Ovis aries: one gene and its partners. The protein of the gene in region 1 interacts with the protein of each later gene in a biochemical or structural test. Links are inferred from orthologs where the notes say so. Each region holds a gene or a part of one and is shown on either strand. Other genes may lie near its edges.

The links.
Region 2: the proteins of CRKL (region 1) and MAP4K1 form a complex in vitro, tested with the Homo sapiens proteins (2 studies listed by BioGRID). The link is inferred for Ovis aries from reciprocal best matches to the Homo sapiens genes CRKL and MAP4K1.
Region 3: the proteins of CRKL (region 1) and ABL1 form a complex in vitro, tested with the Homo sapiens proteins (4 studies listed by BioGRID and IntAct, with this or other methods). The link is inferred for Ovis aries from reciprocal best matches to the Homo sapiens genes CRKL and ABL1.

What each region holds. Positions count from the first base shown.
Region 1 is NC_056070.1:72,322,158-72,326,518, forward strand, and holds the start of CRKL (crk-like protein), read left to right. Parts: upstream 1-1,490; 5' UTR 1,491-1,892; coding exon 1,893-2,203; intron 2,204-4,361. UniProt on the Homo sapiens protein: May mediate the transduction of intracellular signals.
Region 2 is NC_056067.1:47,753,553-47,757,642, reverse strand, and holds the start of MAP4K1 (mitogen-activated protein kinase kinase kinase kinase 1), read left to right. Parts: upstream 1-1,230; 5' UTR 1,231-1,293; coding exon 1,294-1,392; intron 1,393-1,562; coding exon 1,563-1,620; intron 1,621-1,730; coding exon 1,731-1,821; intron 1,822-2,525; coding exon 2,526-2,590; intron 2,591-4,090. UniProt on the Homo sapiens protein: Serine/threonine-protein kinase, which plays a role in the response to environmental stress. Appears to act upstream of the JUN N-terminal pathway.
Region 3 is NC_056056.1:5,791,627-5,795,211, reverse strand, and holds part of ABL1 (tyrosine-protein kinase ABL1), read left to right. Parts: intron 1-1,406; coding exon 1,407-1,496; intron 1,497-1,844; coding exon 1,845-2,009; intron 2,010-3,585. UniProt on the Homo sapiens protein: Non-receptor tyrosine-protein kinase that plays a role in many key processes linked to cell growth and survival such as cytoskeleton remodeling in response to extracellular stimuli, cell motility and adhesion, receptor endocytosis, autophagy, DNA damage response and apoptosis.

The DNA of each region.
Region 1 (4,361 bases):
CATACACAAAAGTAGAATAATGTAATTAATAGCTCCCCCCGCCACACACACACACACACACACACACACACATTAGCAAAGCAAGCAAAATGGACTAACTTATAGGCAATAATTGTGTAACACTGAAATGAGTCCTGGACTTCAAAAGACCTCCCTGAGTGCCTCTTGCAAAGCATACAACCTATGATAACTTCTCTGAGATATAATTGTGTATCTTTGAGATGCTCACTAAACATTTTTTTTGTATTTAATTTTGTATCTATATGTAAACTTATGGTGATGATAATCAGTTTATGATGTAAGCAAGTCAAGCCATTAAGCTGTACACCTTAAACTTGTACAGTGCTGTATGTCAACTATCTCTCTATAAAACTGAAAGAAAAATTAATATTAGAAGATGAAAAAAATATGACAAGGAATGATACAGTCAACTGGTAAGTCAGGTTAGGATTGGAACTCAAGCCTTCCTCTTCAAATTCTGAGCTATTCAAATTGTGCCCGAAAGTAACACGACGCGAAAGTATTTGGAGGGAAGCTGAAAACCTGCTTTGCTGAGTCACAAAAGGCCCTAGGCCGTGACGATTCCCCTTGAGTTTACCCGGAAGGAACGTCAGCCATCACGCTGCGACAGTGGTCCCCAGCATCCTGGGCGCCAGGGACCCTTCCGTGGAAGACAGTTTTTCCTCGGGGCGGGGGATGGTTCAAGCGCATTCCTTTCACGCTGCACTTTCTTTCTGTTATTCTTACATCGGCTCCACCTCCCGTCATCAGGCACTGGGTCGCAGAAGCTGGGGACGCCTGCCCTACCTACAGTGCAGGACAGGCTCAGCCCAGCAACGAGATCGGCTCCCCAGGAGTCTAGAGCCGGGCTCCGATGCCCCTCTGGACAGGCGCCTCCACCGGCCGGCGGGGGCGGGGGCGGGGGGTCCCCGACAGTCATTCATTCCGCCCAGGTCTGAGATCAGCGTAGGGCGGGGCGAAGAAGCGCCAGGCCCAGGGCTGAACAAGGCGCACCAAACCCCGCTCCCGTGAAACGGACGGTCCGGCGCGGACGGGGGTGCGGCCAGGGGCCGGGGCTTCTGCGGCGGGGGTCCTGGGGGGGCCAAGGCGGCAAGGGCTCCGAGAGGACGCGGGAGCTTCGCCAGCCACCGCCTGAGCACCCGCGGCGGTCGGCCCCGCCACCCCCTAACCTGGCCGGCCCGGCTGCGCACGGCCCGGGGCCGCGCCCGGGGGCCGGGCCTGGCCCGCGCCGCCCGCTTTGTTCCCGGAGCGGGCTCCAGAAGCGCCGCCTCCCCGCAGCGCCCCCCGGCGGGCCCGGGAGGGAGCGCGGCGCCGCGCGCGGGCGGCGCACGCCCGCCCTCGCGATTGGCCGCGCGGCGTGACGTCACGGGGCGGCGCCGGCGGCCGCCGGGAGCGGGCGCGCGCGCGTGCGCAGTCGCGGGGCGCGGGGGGGGGCGGGGGAGGTGGCCGCCGCTGCGCCCGCGGCCGCCATTTTGTTGCTGTGGCTCTCGGGAGCGGGGCAGGGCTCGGCGGCCCCGGCGGCGCGGCGCTCCCGGGCGGTGTGCGGCTCGGCGCGGCCGCGGGGCTCGGTGCGGAGCGGCGGGGACGCGGGGCCGGCCGCGCGCCGGGGCCAGGGCTGAGCGGAGGCGCCGCGAGCCGCCCTCGCCGCGCTCGGCCGGGCCCGCGCCCGGAGCCGGCTGGGCCCGCGCGGCGGCCCCGGAGCAGGCCGGCGGCCCGGAGGATGTTGCGGGCCCGCGGCCGCGAGGAAGGCGCGGGCGCGGGCCTGTAGGCGCGCGGTGAGCCCGAGGCCCGGCCGGCGCGCAGCCGCCGCGGGCGGGGCGCCCCCAGCGCCGGCGAGAGCGGCCCGCCCGGCCCCCCGCGCGCCGCCCGCCATGTCCTCCGCCAGGTTCGACTCCTCGGACCGCTCGGCCTGGTACATGGGGCCCGTGTCCCGCCAGGAGGCGCAGACGCGGCTCCAGGGCCAGCGCCACGGCGTGTTCCTCGTCCGCGACTCGTCCACCTGCCCGGGGGACTACGTGCTGTCCGTGTCCGAGAACTCGCGGGTGTCCCACTACATCATCAACTCGCTGCCCAACCGCCGCTTCAAGATCGGGGACCAGGAGTTCGAGCACCTGCCGGCGCTGCTGGAGTTCTACAAGATCCACTACCTGGACACCACCACGCTCATCGAGCCGGCGCCCAGGTGCGCGGGGCCGCGGGGCTCGGCGCGGCGGCGCCGGCCGGGGGCGCCGTGGGTGAGGGCGGTGCGTCGGGCCCGGCAGCTCGCGCTGCGGGCGCCCAGTTGGAAAAGGGGCGCTTTCTGCCCTTCGTCGCGTCCTCGGTGCAAATTACCTGCTGAAGCAGGGCGTTGCTCCCGGTCTTGCAGCCGGTTTGGGGCCACGGGTTGAGACTCTGAAGCTAGTCTTCGGCTCCCCGCCCCGCGGGCCCCTCCCTGCCCCCCGCCCTCCCGAGTTTGCACCGCTTTCAGGGTCTCTGAGCTCCGGGGTTGGACCTCCCGGACGGCAGCCTTTGGAAACTCTAGAGATGGAAATGCCTTCGCAGGTAGAAACGAAATGCCTTTACCTGTGAAATATCAGGGCCATATATTGATAGCCTGGTGCCAGGGTTGAAATAAGCCAGGCGTCTGTTTTATAACACATTAACTGAAAATACTGTAGAAGAGGTCGGCTTGAACGAGGAATTTTTTTTTTTTAATAGATTTCCCCCAAGCTGGGCCTTTAATGGACTGGAAATCCATTTGGTTAAATTCCAAGGTGGAATGAGTCTAGACTGTTACTAAGAGGAAATTTTGAATGACACTCCACTGAAGATTCTACGCTAGTTGAATTTCAGATGTCCTTTTTGTACTGAGTTGCATGACTTAGTATCTATTTTAAAATAACCCAGAGTGACACTGAGCATTGGGCATCCCTTTTCATTTGGGCTTCATTATTGGCCTTAATATTTTGCTCGAGGCTTCTTTTGTGCAGATTATGCAAAACTTGAGCTAAAGAGATGGCGTAGGGTTTTAAAAATAAAAGGTATTGATCTTTTCAAGCGTCTGCTTAGAAAGGACAGGGTGCTAATACAGGTTTTTTTCAGGGTGAGATGGTTCTGACTTGATAGATCTGCTGACAAGATAGTAGTCTCAGCTCTGAACATGAGAAGCTGTCGTATTAAAGGGGGACGCACTGGATGCTTCTGTGGACTAGAGGTAGAGAAGAATGAAGCCCTCGCGGTGTAATGACCAGGAGGTTAACTGCTGAGCTAAATGGACTTTAAAAGCTGGGAGACAGGGATTATAAATCAGATACTGCGTAACAAAGGCCTAGCCGCGGCGAGTCTGACTGGCGAGGCCTCCAGGTCCCCGAAGAGCCTGGGAGCTAGAGGCAGCGCTCAGCACAGTGTGATTCCAGCGTGAGAGGCTGGGGGCTCTCGGCTCCCGCAGTGGTGAGGCTTCAGCTGCGTTCGCGTAACTGGCTCTTCTGGCTTGTGAAGGTGACTGAGCGCTCTCTCGGGCACTGACTGGGCCTCGCCGCGCGCCTCAGTGCAGCCGTGAGGGAGGGACTCGAGCCCCTCTGGGTGGAGAGAAAGGGGCGCGGCCCTGGCTTCCCAGTGCCCGCAGCCGCCACCCCCAGCTTTCCCTTCGTGCTGCTTCCCAGATGCCCGTCCTCACCCTCTCCCGCCGCCTCCAGGGAGCCCGCGCTACACGCCCACTCGCGCCGGAGGACCTTTGCTCGGGCCCCACCCGCCCCTCACCGGGCGCGCCTCCCTGCCCTTGGGGCCTTTCCCTGGCGCTGCCCCCGCCTCCAGTTGAGCTTTGCTGTTTCTCCGCCCGCTGCCCCGGGCGTCCCGCTGCCGTCGAGTTTTCCTTCCCCTGGTGTCTCCGAGGGCTGCCGCTGCCCCAGTTGAATGAGATCCTGGCAGGATTCACTTGGTCACACTGAACCTGGATCGCCTCTCCCGGAGCCAGAAACCCGCGGATCTGTGTGATGCGCTTATTACTCAGCTAGTGTAGAAGACAAGGCCGGGCCAGCTTTGGCCAAAGGCAAAAATCAGGGCCGTGTGCTTCCACGCCCCAGGCAGGATGGATGAAGTGGTTAGGCTCTTTCAGGCCTCAGAACCGAGCTCCTGAAGCCAGAGCTTCTGCGCTTTGGCTAATAGTTATTTTTTGGGGTTCATTTTGCTCAGTAAAAAGTGACGACTTACTGGCTTCCTCAGAATTTAAGGACTGATCTCTTTTTTTTGTTGGGGGAGTAGCTTTTTTTTTTTGGCCGTGCAGCGTGTGGGAGCCAAAGTCCCTGGCCAGGGACCAAAACTGAGCCCTTGGCAGTGGCAGCTGGGGTCTCAACCTCTGCACC
Region 2 (4,090 bases), on another chromosome or scaffold:
GGCCGAAGACCCTGCCGGCAAAGCGTCCTCGAGGACCGGAAGAGGAAGAGTTGGTGGAAACGGAAACTACGTAATTGTTTTCTCTCCAGCCCCGCGGTGAATCGTGCTTTGGGTCTAGCTGCGGCTGCCACGCTTTCCGGCTGCCGCGTGACTTCTTCCCAGCCGGCGCAGTTAGCGCGTGCGCATACGCTCTACTCGAGCAGAAGCTACGGCGCGAGAAAAGACCTAGTCTAACCAAGTGCGCAGGCGCCTTCTCGCGGCGAGGGGGCGGGACTAAGCTTTTCCCGGGCCTCGCGTATCCAGTTATAGACCCTGGCGCGTGAGCGCGGACTTAGCGGGAAGTAGACTGATCCGTGACGGCGTGCACGGGCTGTGAACTCAAAACTGCTGGGGTTCCATCAGTACAATCCTTTTGGTCCATGGGCATGTGCCGAAGAAGGTGCCCTCTGAGGTCCCCTTGGCCTCTGAGGAAGGATCCTGAGCTTCGCAGTTTTAAGTCGTGAACCTGGTCCCCCACACTTCACCCTAACGCCGAGGGTAGTGGCCCGCAAAGCTGTTGTGCTCAGCTCGGCAGGGGCGGAGAGAGGGGCTCGTGGACCCCGCTAGATCACGCCCAGTCCCCATAGCTCCAGTTCTGTGGGTGAAGGCGAGCGCTCCGCATGTGGCATCCCTAGTTGTGTGTTCAGATACTGCCCACTGCAAGCATGACTGAACATGCATGTGTCATATGTGTATATGCTCTGGGTATATCCACATACGTGCACACGGGTATCCAGGAGTGTGCACGGCGACTGGCCTGCGCGCCGCACGGGGAGTTACCACTAAGTGCCTGTATGTGTCCCGGGTGAACAATGATGTACATACACTACATGGTCATCCCGGTGTAGACCTGCCATCTCCAGGTTGTGGCCCAACACTCAGCGTTCAGCAGAGGTTCAAATGTTTTTAGCCACTGCCCATAACGGGGGAGGGTGAGGGCACCCTCCAGGTCACAATGAAGATAGTTTGCATCTGGTTTACATGCAGCCCAGGGCCCCGGAGGTGGAGGGGGGAGTCCCCTGGGTCCCAAGGCAAGCTGCCCCTCACAGGCTGTCAGGGCCCAGGGGACAGGGGGTGGAGCCGCTGGCTGCACAGCTCTGTGCCGGGGCAGGAAGCGAGAGTGGGGAGGGGGGAGGCCACAGCCGGTGGAGGCAAGGCGGGTGCAGGGCGTGTGGGGAGGGAGGGAGGTGCCAGCATTCGGAGCCCTGAGGCCCTGCTGGCCCCTGGGCGCAGGCCCAGCTCCGGCCCCCAGGAATGGACCTCGTAGACCCTGACATCTTTAACAGGGACCCCCGGGACCACTATGACCTGCTGCAGCGGCTGGGTGGCGGCACCTATGGGGAAGTTTTCAAGGTGAGGAACCCCCCTCCTTCTCCAACACTCTCAAACCTGTGACCTTGGGGGTGAGCCCCAAGAAGGGATGGGGATGTGAGAGGGTCCCAGTCCTCAGCTTGGCTTCAGGGATGCTGAGGAAGACCTCGGGCAAATGGAGCCTGCCTGACTGCCAACTTCCCCTTTACAAGGCTCGAGAGAAGGGGACAGGGGACCTGGTGGCACTGAAGATGGTGAAGATGGAGCCTGGTGAGGAGAGCACCCAGGTCCTCATTCCCCTGCCCCACCTCCTGGGACCCTGGGATCTCCCCCATACTCCATCCCTGCAGTAGCCTTTTCTCTTCTGCCCCTCCTCGCAGACGATGATGTTTCCACCCTTCAGAAGGAAATCCTCATCTTGAAAACTTGTCGGCACGCCAACATCGTGGCCTACCATGGGAGTTATCTCTGGTGATGAGACCTCCCCTGCCCCCCAGCCCAGCCCCCAACTCCCATTCCTGACCAGCACCCGCCTCCAACCTAACCTCTAATCCCAGACCTCCATTTTTAACTGAGGCTCCTAACTTAATCCCCAGCCCGAAGTCCCACTTGTTTGACCAGAGCACCTCCAAACCTCATCTCCAATAAATAACTAGCATTTCTCACTAAATTGATCCCTTTGTGGTAACCAAATGTGAAACCAAGTCCCTCTAAAACTGATCATCGTCCTGACTTGCAGGTCCCCCAGTTTCACTTTCTGTTCCTTTAACATGAACCCCTAATTTCCCTGACCCTTGAATATCCCAGATGCCCCAAGAATGATCTCTGCCCCCCGGCCCTGGCATCCTGGGCTCCTCTGTCCCCTCTGAACTTCCACAACCTGTGAAGTCTCTGCCCTGTCTCCTAGGTTAGCATGGGACAACAGAGAACGTCATGGTAGGAGCCCAGGCACCTGGGTTTGGTCCAGTTGACCCTAAACATATATTTTCTTCTTTGAGCCTCAATCTCCCCATCTGTAAAATGGGATGATCTCACTCTGGTAGACAATAGAGAGATGACACCTCTTACATTCAAGTTCTTGTTGAACTAGGATAGGATGGACAGTGAGCCAGAAACTGTCCTATAAATAATGATTTATTACTGCTATTATTATTCTTGCTCTTGAACTGTTGTAGGCTGCAGAAACTCTGGATCTGCATGGAATTCTGTGGGGCTGGTTCTCTCCAGGACATCTACCAAGGTGAGTGGCAGGGCGAGGAGATCCAGGCAGCCCTTGGCCCTCCAATCCACCTGTCCTGTCCCTCTATCCTTGCGTCTCCGGGGACTGTCTTTCTGGTCTGTATTTCACACAGAGCCCCTCCTCTGGACCAGGCCTGGCCTGGAAGATGCTGGGGAGACTGTGGTACCCAAGCGGGCCCTGAACCCTGTATCCTTCAGGACCTGAGAGTCCAGCTCTATTTTTTCTGCAACGATCCCGACTTTCCCTGCCCCATCTTCCCCCTGTGCCTGCATTTTCTCACCAAGGTCTATTCATGCCTTTGAGTATTTCTGCATTTCTAGCTCATCGTCAGGGCCCATCTGTTCATTTAATGAGTGAATGCATTTCTGATTCACTCAGCCTGCTTTTCACTGTCTTGGAGCACTGGAGGGTGGGGGCGGGGTGGGCCTTGATCAGATTTCTGATGTGCACCTCTATCTTTGACCATCTCCCAGTCTCCCAGTCTCCCTCCAGCCCTAGACCTCAAAGGTCAGGAAAGGAAGGACTTCATGAAGAAGTCCTCAGGGCGGGTGGGGGAAACTGAGGCCCACAGAGAGGAAGTGACTCACCCCACCAGCCCGTCAGACCAAGTCTCTGACCCCCTCAGTCTGCTGTCTCTCTCTGGTGTATTCTCACCCCTTTGTGTCTTTCTCAATGTGTCTCTTTTCCCAGTTTGGGGTGTCTCTGCCCATGTCTGTCTCTCTCTGCCTCAGCTTGGGTCTGTTCCTGATTCTCTATCTCTTCCCGTCTCTCTCTGCCTTTCCTTGTTCTACAGAGTGACATCACTCAGAGCTGTCCCATGCCCTCCATCCCCTCCCCCCCCCCAAAGCGAAGCCCAAGTTTCTCAACACTGCCCCTGAGTCTGACCCCCGCTGACAATCCCAGGCTGGCGCCCTCTCCCTGCTCCACCCACGCCTCTGCTTTCCAGCCCCACCAGGGACACTCCCCTGCTTCTGGGCCTTTGCACTTGCCTTTCCCTTTCCGAGGGGGACTGCTCCCCATCTCCACCCCCGCCGCCTTCTCGGGGTCGCCTTCACTGATCAACCTGTATGAAATGTCATACTCCTTCCCACACATATTTCCCACACATATTTCCTGTTATCTTTTCTTGCTTAATTTTTCTTCTCACTATTTATTGGCATCTCGTGTATCATGTATCTTACCTGTTTATCTTGTCTGCCATCCGTCTCCTGTGCTAGAGCGTTCTCTCCACGGGGGCAGGGATCTCTGCCTCTTTTGTCCACAGCTGTATCCCTGCTGCCTGCCACAGTGGCTGGCACACAGTAGACATGCAGCAAATAATCACGTTGAATGAATCTCTCTGGTTCCCTGCATCACTGCCTCTCTCTGTTGCTGACTGCCTCTCTGCCTCCTCCTCCCACCTGTCCCATCCCAGTTCTCCCCTCCCTGTGTGGTACCCTCTCAGCTGGTGTGGGTGGTGGCCAGGGGTCTGGCCTGCACCCAACACAGTGCCTGGGTGAC
Region 3 (3,585 bases), on another chromosome or scaffold:
ACTACTGTACAGTTTGGAACTTTTTTTTTTTTCCATGTTTCTATGCGCTTTTATTCATATATAGTATTTTACGTATGAGGGTTTTTTGTTTGTTTTTCATGCAAAAGAGACCGATGGATACCAAGCCTGGGTGGATAAAAGTCACTCAGAATATTTGCCTACTATACAAGAAATTTGCATTTATTAATAAGAACCCCAAGTTTTACAACCCTGTGAGCTGTAGCCCGCCAGGCTCCTCTGTCCGTGGGATTGCCCGGGCAAGAATACCAGAGTGGGTTGCCATTTCCTTCTCCAGGATCTTTCCAACCTAGGGATCCAATTTGCATCTCCTGCATCGGTAGGAGGATTCTCTACAGCTAAGCCACCAGGGAAGCCCATATATATTATGGGCCCTGAAATTTCAGCAATTTACATACACACATACATACACACACACACACACACACACGTGTGTGTGTGTGTTATATGTGTGCGTAAGTGCTACGTGTATGTGTGTTATGTGTGTGTTATAGGTTGTGTGTGTGTAAGTATGTAACGTGTGTGTGCATATATAAAATGTATAAAAATTTATCACCTCAACTTTTTTTTGTACTTAGCAGTGGAACAGGCCTGTGTTTCCATGTCTGTGATTCAGAGCAAGTGCACCCTCTTTCCCCCACTTCCCTGTCTCATATCTTTATGTAGCTGTCTGGCATCTATTGCATGATTTATTCATTCATCCAGTCTGCTTTTGATGAGCATTTGGTTGCTTTACACATTTGTTGTCGTTGTTTTTTTTTTTTTGTCATTATAAATAAGGCAGGAACCAGCACCCTCAAACATAGACCTCTGTGCACTTTGCTAGTACTTCTTGAAGTTGAACTGTTGGTTCAGGGAGCTAAGTGCATTTTAAATTTTGATAGGTTTTATCATCTTTTTCTCAAAAAGGTTATATGAATTGATACTCTCAACAGAAGTTTCTGAGAGGGACTCTATGTCTTCACCTAATGGGATTTAGTCATCCCTTAATCCTCATTTTAACCTTGTTTTAATTAGTACATCTTTTCTGATGAGGAACTTGGGCTTTGATAACCATGAAATAAGGGTAAGGTAGGAAGCAAGCTATTGGCTTTAGTAACTTTCTATGTTTGCTGGAGGCAGGCCGGTAAAATCCTATTTGTAAATGTAGTTGTTGCTGTCAGCCTGTCTCTGGGATTTTAGACTCCGTATTCCTGCCAGTATGTAAAATTTTCTCAAATTCTCAATGTCTGTAATAGGACACAGTGACATTCATCACTTTAACTTGTCATAGCAAAAGATGCTTAAGCAGGATTGGAATGTTAATTCCCAGACTTTCCACTGAGAATGTCTCGTCCCCCCATGTTTGCGAGGCATCGTGGGCAGTCTGACTTGGGTCTCATCTGCAGGTTGGCAGTGGAATCCCTCCGACCGGCCCTCCTTCGCTGAGATCCACCAGGCCTTTGAAACGATGTTCCAGGAATCCAGCATATCAGATGGTAAAGTGCCCGTCCTGGGGGTGCCCGTGGTGGAGAGCGAGGTCGACCTGGGAGGGACAGCCATGTGGGGCCCAGCCCAGGCCTTCAGTCCACTTCCTGCTAGAGCGTGTGGGCCAGCATCTCGCCGGAGACCAGAGAGTGGAGCAGGGGTGCTGAGGGTGGCTTTCCGTCTCTTGCAGCCAGGGTTCTGAAAGTTGCTCAAGTACTGTTTCTTCAGAGTGTGTGTCCCTTTTCTGTAACCGTATATAGTTTACTACTGTTGCCTTAAGAAGAGAAAGCCAACATACCACAATGATACCACTGCTGATGACTGCTGGTTTTGTTCTTAATTTTTTTGGTGTTTCTTAGAAGTGGAAAAGGAGTTGGGGAAGAAAGGCATGCGAGGGGTTGCAGGTACCCTGCTGCAGGCCCCAGAACTGCCCACCAAGACGAGAACCTCCAGGAGAGCTGCTGAGCACAAAGACACCCCCGACATGCCCGAGACACCCCACTCCAAGGGCCCAGGAGAGACTGGTATGTGCCCACCCCCCACCTGCCTCGGGGGCCCCAGGGAGTCAACCCTAAACTGAAAGGCAGGCACATCCCTCATGAGTGGGCCAGCTGCAGAGAGGAAAGTTCTCCTTTTCTCTGCACTCTCTACCCACCCCACCCACGGCCCCCATCAGGTAGGAGCCATTGCTTCCACAGTAGGCAGAGATGTTCATGAAACCTACAGGAACAAGCCCACCTTTTCATGTATCATTCACACTGTTTGTGGTTGTTCTGCACTGTGGACAGATAGAGCAATAATAAACACTGAACCAAACAAAGAGCAGCTCGTTGTGAAAGCACTGATACGAAAAGCTCCCTGGTGCTGATGGAGCCATGAGACCCCCGGGGCAGAGCTGGGGTCCTCATTGTCCCTGAGAAGAGGCTGGTGCTGTCCCCTTGACTAGCGAGGGCGGTGGGAGCACTGCAGGAGGGGTTAACATGAGCAAACATGGACCCAGTGCTTCCTGTGTGCCAGGCTCTGCTCTGAGCAAGGCTGCTCTGGTTTTGCAGTCGCCCCAACCAAAAAGAAAATACAGAAGTATGGATTCCAGAGCAGACCAACTGGGTGGAGATGTCTGCAGTGGGCCAGGTGTCTGGGTTTTAGCTGCCTCTAGGGGATTGCTCTGATGGGCCACATACTCTGGGTGAATGGGAAGGGACAGGACAAAGCCAGAATCTACAAGACCCCATGATTCCAATTTTTTTCATCATGTTCTTGTTCAGTCACTCAGTCGTGTCCGACTCTTTGCGGCCCTGTGGACTGCAGCACACCAGGCTTCCCTGTACTTCACCATTTCCTAGAACTTGGTCAAACTCATGTCTGTTGAATCAGTGATGCCATCCAACCATGTCCTCTGTCGTCCCCTTCTCCTCCTGCCTTGAATCTTGCCCAGCATCAGAGTCTTTTCTAATGAATCAGTTCTTGGCATCAGGTGGCCAAAGTATTGGAGCTTCAGCTTCAGCATCAGTCCTTCCAGTGAATATTCAGGCTTGATTTCCTTTAGGATGGACTGGTTTGATCTCCTTGCTATCCAAGGGACTCTTCACGAGTCTTCTCCAACACCACAATTCAGAAGCATCAATTCTTCAACATTCAGCCTTCTTTATGATCCAACTCTCACATCCATATATGATGACTGGAAAAACCATAGCTTTGACTGTATGGACCTTTGTTGGCAAAATGATATCTTTGCTATCTAATACACTGTTTAGGTTTGTCATAGCTTTTCTTCCAAGGAGCAAGCATCTTTTAATTTCGTGGCTGCAGTCACCATCTTCAGTGATTTTGGAGCCTAAGAAAATGAAGTCTCTCATTGTTTCCCCATCTATTTGCCATGAAGTTATGGGACGCGATACCATGATCTTCGTTTTTTGAATATTGAGTTTTAAGCCAGCTTTTTCACTTTCCTCTTTCATTTTCCTCAAGAGGCTCTTTAGCTTCTCTTCGCTTTCTGCCATAAAGGTGCTGTATCTGAGGTTACTGATATTTCTCCCAGCAGTCTTGATTGCAGCTTTTGCTTTATCCAGCCCAGCATTTTGTATGATGTATTCTGCATAT